Linked DNA regions of Tribolium castaneum. The protein of the gene in region 1 binds, or shares a complex with, the protein of each later gene. Links are inferred from orthologs where the notes say so. Each region holds a gene or a part of one and is shown on either strand. Other genes may lie near its edges.

Evidence for each region.
Region 2: Xpd (region 1) and Polr2G share a complex: the UniProt entries of both Homo sapiens proteins name them as parts of the TBP-based Pol II pre-initiation complex. The link is inferred for Tribolium castaneum from reciprocal best matches to the Homo sapiens genes ERCC2 and POLR2G.

The regions. Positions count from the first base shown.
Region 1 is NC_087394.1:27,629,695-27,633,626, forward strand, and holds the end of Xpd (general transcription and DNA repair factor IIH helicase subunit XPD), read left to right. Parts: coding exon 1-317; intron 318-2,492; coding exon 2,493-2,771; intron 2,772-2,821; coding exon 2,822-3,208; intron 3,209-3,254; coding exon 3,255-3,389; 3' UTR 3,390-3,437; downstream 3,438-3,932. UniProt on the Homo sapiens protein: ATP-dependent 5'-3' DNA helicase. Component of the general transcription and DNA repair factor IIH (TFIIH) core complex, not absolutely essential for minimal transcription in vitro.
Region 2 is NC_087398.1:9,594,559-9,597,592, reverse strand, and holds Polr2G (DNA-directed RNA polymerase II subunit RPB7), read left to right. Parts: upstream 1-1,306; 5' UTR 1,307-1,433; coding exon 1,434-1,445; exon of another isoform or gene 1,446-1,494; coding exon 1,495-1,604; exon of another isoform or gene 1,605-1,655; coding exon 1,656-1,815; exon of another isoform or gene 1,816-1,867; coding exon 1,868-1,918; exon of another isoform or gene 1,919-1,967; coding exon 1,968-2,105; exon of another isoform or gene 2,106-2,153; coding exon 2,154-2,204; 3' UTR 2,205-2,258; downstream 2,259-3,034. Other genes in the region: uncharacterized protein LOC107397903, read right to left, coding at 1-641, 692-885, 938-938; ras-related protein Rab-18, read left to right, coding at 2,530-2,597, 2,647-2,956, 3,004-3,034. UniProt on the Homo sapiens protein: Core component of RNA polymerase II (Pol II), a DNA-dependent RNA polymerase which synthesizes mRNA precursors and many functional non-coding RNAs using the four ribonucleoside triphosphates as substrates.

The DNA.
Region 1 (3,932 bases):
TATCAGACTTGACCGACTTCAGTCCGGTCATTTTAGTCACACATTTGGCCACTTTGGTGGCCACTTATACGAAAGGTTTTACGATAATCGTAGAACCGTTTGATGATAAGACACCGACGGTGTCAAACCCGATCTTACATTTCAGTTGTTTGGATTCGTCGATTGCCATAAAACCGGTTTTTGATCGGTTTCAAACCGTGGTTATAACCTCTGGAACCCTATCCCCTCTAGATATGTACCCCAAGATTTTGAACTTCCATCCTGTGATCATGTCTTCGTTCACTATGACGTTGGCCAGGCCTTGTTTGCTACCAATGGTAAGTCCAGAGGTTGGTGGAGTTCATCATTGACCATTGAATGTTAAGTTATTTAAATAAATTTGCACAAAATTTATAGTATATGTGCGGAATAAACACCGTTTATTTTTTGCATTTTTGAACGTAGCTTTTCATGACTCTTTGTGAGGAAGTTTTGGGGTAATTATTCAAAAACCAAGAATAATAAAAAAAAAAAAATTGAATCATTTTTAAGGAAGAAAGTAGGTATGTTTCAACATTTTTTGGAGAGTTAAAAAAATGAGGAAACTTTTAAGTTTTATCACATAAAAATATTGAAAGATTGGTGTCTCTTACTTACAGTAATTAGTAATTAACTAATTACTCAAAAGATGCGATATTAACCTTTAAACATGAAAAAAATTCACTAGTGGAAAAAATGAAAATTTTAGCTAATAACAACGCTTAGGCCATTATTCGTCATTTATTACAGAAAAATAACTGAACCATTTATCCGTGGAAATTACTATAATTTATTTATTGAATAAGAACTGAATTAACATTTAAAGTCAAATATCTTTTGATTTATTAACTTCAGACATAACATACAGTTTTTAGAAAAATAAAAAAAAATGGATGTTCCATTTAATTAATTAGGAACCTGTTCAAAAATCGTGCCAAAATAATGCAGTTGATGTTCCGCAAATTTGATAAAAATGCAACTACGATATATTTCACCATTTTTAAATATAATATGGTCTGATTAGTTGGAAAAAGATGAACAAACGTGTCCGTAACATAAACACTCATTACAACTTACAAAAAAGTAAAAACTTACCCTTTCTGTTGTCCTTGGAGCCCTGAAATCAAAACATTGATATCAAAAAAGATTGCTTATGATTTAAACCAGTTAATAGTAGGTATTTCAGAAAATGGTAACAGAATTTTTTGTAATTCGGAAGTTGAAAGTTGTATTACTGTGAAAGAGTATATTGGATCTTATCTTTAGAAATTTCTACTATTAAGTTCAAAACTTTTGATACTTTTGATTTAAAATTAATCAATAAATCGTCATTCATTCCGAAAAATTTTATTCTTCAAAAATAATAATTACATTATTAACAAACTTGATAATGTACCCATTATTTTATTTTAATTTATTTTATTCGTAGTATTGGCAAAAAACGCTTGGTTCCATACCATATTCAGTGAGCGGATAAATTATTATTAACTATTATCTTATTAAAACCTAAGATATTTTATAATGGCAGAAATGCTCGAACAAATCAATTTCTTTTTAGCCATGTCGATAGATCTTTTAATTGTTGAACCAAAATAAATAAAAATAAAAAAAACTATCCAAAAGAGTGAAAAGCGTAAATGTTTAATACCATCAAAAAACAAACACAATTTCAAATATCTAACAAAAAATAATTCTTTTATTTAATTAAAATTTTCGAAATGTTCCCACATTACGAAGAACTTCCGGACTTTTCAAATCGTCTAAATTTTGTGGTCTATTCTCTGTTTTCTCTCCAATTGTTTCCAAAAATACAAAAAGAAGGTAATAGGTTTGTGTTTGAAACTACTCTCATGATTTTTTTTGTCGAAATAACAAATTTATTAGTTTGCTTTTTGTTAGTAGTATTAAAATTTATGTTGTCACCTAACATTTCTAGAACGGGCTTTCGTTAAATTCTATCGGTTGCGTAACACCCATCAGATCATCTCCATTCACTACTTTAGCAAATATGCAACCAATAAAAATCTATCCGACGATAAGTGGTCTTAGAAACAGAGGGTAAGATGTTTCGAAGAGACTAAAAAATTAGGGATTCCATTAAAAAAATTCGAGAGACCATTACTCAAAAACCTAAAGTTGTAAAATTTTCAGTTCAATTGAAAAGAGAATTAGCCTGTTGGACAATTTTTGCATTTTAAAGTTATGTCATGGAATATCTGTAGGGTGAAAAACGATATCTTTTAATGAAGACGGCGAAAAAATCATACGTATAATAATAGCACTGGAGGAAGAAAGTCTCTTCTCTTCCTTAGATTACTGTACTCTGCTTCGCTTTGGGCATTAGTTCAACTTCGGGAGAGAACCTATGTCTGTCCTCTCTTGGTATACAAATAACTACGAGTGTGGTTTTAAATAATTTTGCCGCTAACTGTATACTTTTAACATCATTATCATCATCTCATTGGTCGTTTTAGATCGTGTCAAAAGGCAACGACCAAGTCGCAATTTCGTCAAAATTCGAGACACGCGAAGACAATGCTGTTATCCGAAACTACGGCCAACTCTTGGTCGAAATAGCCGCCAATGTCCCCGACGGAATCGTCTGTTTCTTCACCTCTTATCTCTACCTGGAATCGGTCGTGGCCAGTTGGTACGACCAAGGCGTCATCGACAGCCTCCAAAGATACAAACTCCTCTTCATCGAGACCCAAGACTCGGCAGAAACGAGCTTCGCCCTCATGTACTACATCAAAGTATGTTTTTCCCCCAGCCTGTCCACAGTCGGTAAAGTAGGAATTTCCAGGCTTGCGAGTCGGGCCGCGGGGCCGTGCTGCTCTCCGTCGCGCGGGGCAAAGTCTCCGAAGGGGTCGACTTCGACCACCACCTGGGGCGCGCAGTCCTCATGTTCGGCATTCCCTACGTGTACACCCAGAGCCGCATCCTCAAAGCGCGCCTCGACTACCTTCGGGACCAGTTCCAGATCCGGGAGAACGATTTTTTGACCTTTGACGCCATGAGACACGCGGCCCAGTGCGTGGGGAGGGCTATCAGGGGCAAGACCGACTACGGTATCATGATTTTCGCCGATAAGAGGTTTTCCAGGTCGGATAAGCGGTCAAAGTTGCCCAAGTGGATCCAGGAGCATTTGAAGGACTCTCTGACGAATCTGTCGACGGAGGAGGCGGTCCAGGTGAGTTGGGGGTTGTGAGGGAGAGTGGCGTGAGTTTGACTTGCAGATTGCCAAGCGGTGGTTGCGACAGATGGCGCAGCCGTTCACTAGGGAGGACCAGTTGGGGGTGTCTTTGCTCACTTTGGAGCAGTTGCAGAATTTGGAGGCGAGTAAAATCCAAGAGCAGGCGCAACAAAATTGATTTGTTATTATTTTTTACGTAATAAAGTATTTTCAAGAAAAAATGTTTTATTCCTGATTTCCTGACCCAATTGAGCGTAAAATGCACTTACACTCCTTTAGTACGAGGTATCTTGTTGATTGTTTCCGGTGTGCGCTGCAAGTTCAGTGAAGGAGAAAACTAGTTACGATTTTACTTGGAATAGTACTAATTGGGTTTGAAGTTAGTTAGAATATTTAAAAAGGAAACTGACGATTATTTATTAGACAAGAATGCATAATAGTTGTTCGTAACCAGAAATTTTAGGTTTTTTGCGTGAATAGAACGTAATCTGAATGCCTGACTCGTTTTTATGTCACCAATAAGAGAATATATGGATAATTCTGGTTTCTGATAAGTAGCGAGATTGCTGATGGTTGATATTAAAAACTGGATTTCCGTAATTAACTCGGATGAAGATAATTATCTACACTCATTCGCAAACTATTTAAATAGTTGTAACATTTCGCAACAGAAAATTAACGATTTAATCTGAAAAAAAAACAACCGAGAGGATAAAAAATA
Region 2 (3,034 bases), on another chromosome or scaffold:
GTCTTACCCCACTGCACAGCAGCAACCCTGTCAAGCGAATAGCCTTCCGCCAAATTTTTAAATAAAGAGGGTGGGAATCTTCGTCTACTGCAAGCAGATAGTACCATGCCAAACCTGCTGGCCGTTAAACGATGTTTCCTTGCTACATGCCAATTTTCGTTAACATGTTGGCCCCGAGTGCACGCCTCAACCAGTTTAATGCGTGCCTCATCTATTCTGCACTTCTCCAAAAGAAACTTTTGTTTGTCTATGGCCTGCACGTATTCTAAGCTTTGTAGAATTTCTTCGATATCTGCAATAATTTTTCTGGCTTCTTCACTTGCTTCTGGTCTTAGGAGCCAAGTGAAGCCCACCACATTCGTGACGCCTATTTCGGCACGGAACTGAATAATTTCGTCCTCAGTAGAGGACCTAGACAGTGCCGTATAGTTTGATAATTTCGGCTTGTAAACATCAGCTAACTTAATGACTTCTGTTTGTGGTGTTGTTTTTGATGGGGCACTCCACTGACACTCAATGTCAGTAGCACTTACATTATAATGAGCATAATATAATGCTGCAGCCATATGATGGCAAGCCACGTTGCCCCTTGGGCAGGTACAATGTGCCGTCTTAACCCCTTCTTCTAGGTCATATGAAATCTAAAACACACTTTGTAGAAGAAATGTCTAACAGTTAAATAAATACAAACCTCCACAGTATAATTTAGCTTTTTCATGCTCGGTAGAACTTCTGCAGAAATTCTCATCGGTTGTACTGTGCCATCAAACCTAAATTTGGTGACGTGACCGCTGGTAAAAGCATTTTCTCCCCGAACTAAAAAGCGATTACCGTCCCCAAAAAATTTCGCAATAAAGTGAAACTTAACAATGTGCTTTTCTGCCACTAAAATGCATAAATATAATAGTTTCTCAAAGTATAATTAAAGCTTACTCACTTTCTCACCGACAACGTGGTTCCCTGTATTCTTTTATAAAGTTCGTATTTTCACAAAAAGTCACTTCTAAATTAAATTAAAGTCTCTAGTGGCACAAATTACACCCGCTGCAGCTATTTGACACGTTATTAACGCACAAACACAACCAAAAAACCGAAAAACGTATTACACCACATGTAAAAGACTGGTTGTTTAGCTTTGAGCAACTGACCTACCGTAATAAGAGTGGGGAGGTGACGTCACGACTGATAGCGCGTATTTTAAAATTTAGGTGTCTTAACAATAAGAGATAACAATAGGAATGATTAAATAATCATTTTGTTAAGTATGGAATGGACTTTTACAACTTAATAACATTGAACAACAAAAATAAATTACTAATTTTAATTATTAGCGCTTTGTTGGGTTGGTATTTGATACAACTGCCAACAAAAACATAACCTTAGATTTGAGCGGCAAATTAACGCGGAATTGTTTGTGTTTTTAAACAAAAAAAATGTTTTATCATGTAATATTACGACTAAATAAATCACTGTTTTATACACAATACTTTTTAGATATCGTTGGAGCATGAAATTTTATTACACCCGCAATATTTCGGCCCACAGCTACTTGAAAAGGTGAAAACCAAGCTGTATACAGAAGTCGAAGGGACCTGTACGGGAAAGTCTGTATTCAAATTTACTTAAAAGTGTTTATCTTCATTCTTTAATTTTAGATACGGTTTTGTAATTGCTGTAACCACGATAGATAGCATAGGGGCTGGCCTTATTTTACCTGGCCAGGGATATGTGGTGTATCCAGTAAAGTATAAAGCTATAGTTTTCAGACCATTTAAGGGAGAAGTGCTTGATGCTGTCGTACGGCAAGTTAACAAAGTGATTACGGAATATTTTCACTTCTTTTTTTACAAGATTGGGTTTTTTCTAGGTGGGAATGTTTGCAGAAATTGGACCTTTATCATGCTTTATCTCACATCATGTGAGTTTTTTTTTAAAGGGTGTGATAATATTGTGACACTATTTTTTAGTCTATACCGGCAGAGATGGAGTTTTGTCCAAATGTAAATCCTCAGTGTTACAAAACCAAAGATGAGGATGTTGTTATTCATGCTGAAGGAGAAATTAGATTGAAAATAGTTGGTACACGTGTGGATGCCACTGGAATAGTAATAAATCAAATATTTCAGTTCCAATTTTTTACGATTCTTTTTTAGTTTGCAATTGGTACTTTGATGGACGATTATTTAGGTTTGATAAGTAACTAGAAGTAAGGGCGTTTTAATGTATTTTAAGTCAATAAAAAGTTTTTTCAATCACTATATGGCGTTTCTTTTCAAATTACCCGCTTCTCAAAGTTTAGTTGCAGACTGCAGGCAATGCAGAAATCTGTTTTACTGTTGTAAACATGTCAATGTCAAGTAATTGTCATTAAAATTTGTTAAATTTTTTTTTAATCGTAAAGTTATAATTGGTTTCAACAAAATTCAGTGCCAGTTATTGTAGAAGAATCGCATTACTTCCAGAAACCACGAAAATATTGTTTTCCGCATTAGTTTCATAACTACGCGTAATCCCCATTGTTGATTAGTAATGGACGAAGAGGTGTTGACGACGTTAAAAATCCTGATAATTGGAGAGAGTGGCGTCGGGAAATCCAGGTAGAACAAGAAACCAAACTATTTACCCCACTTACTACCACCTACTTAGCATTTTAGTCCGCTTTACTGAAGACAACTTCGATCCTGATCAAACGCTAACAATTGGCGTTGATTTTAAAACCAAAAAACTCACAGTCGATGACAACACCGTAAAGCTGGCAATATGGGACACAGCTGGTCAGGAGCGATTCCGAACATTAACACCCTCTTATTACCGCGATGCACAAGGTGCTATTTTAGTTTATGATGTCACCAACTATTCCACATTTGCGAAACTGGAAACATGGTTGAACGAACTGGAAACATACTCGACGAAAGCGAACATAGTCAAAATGATTGTGGGAAATAAAATTGATAAAGTAAATAATCACTTCCAAGGCTTCATGTGTGTAATAATGACTTTCAGGAAAATCGGGAAGTGAACAGGGAAGAAGCGA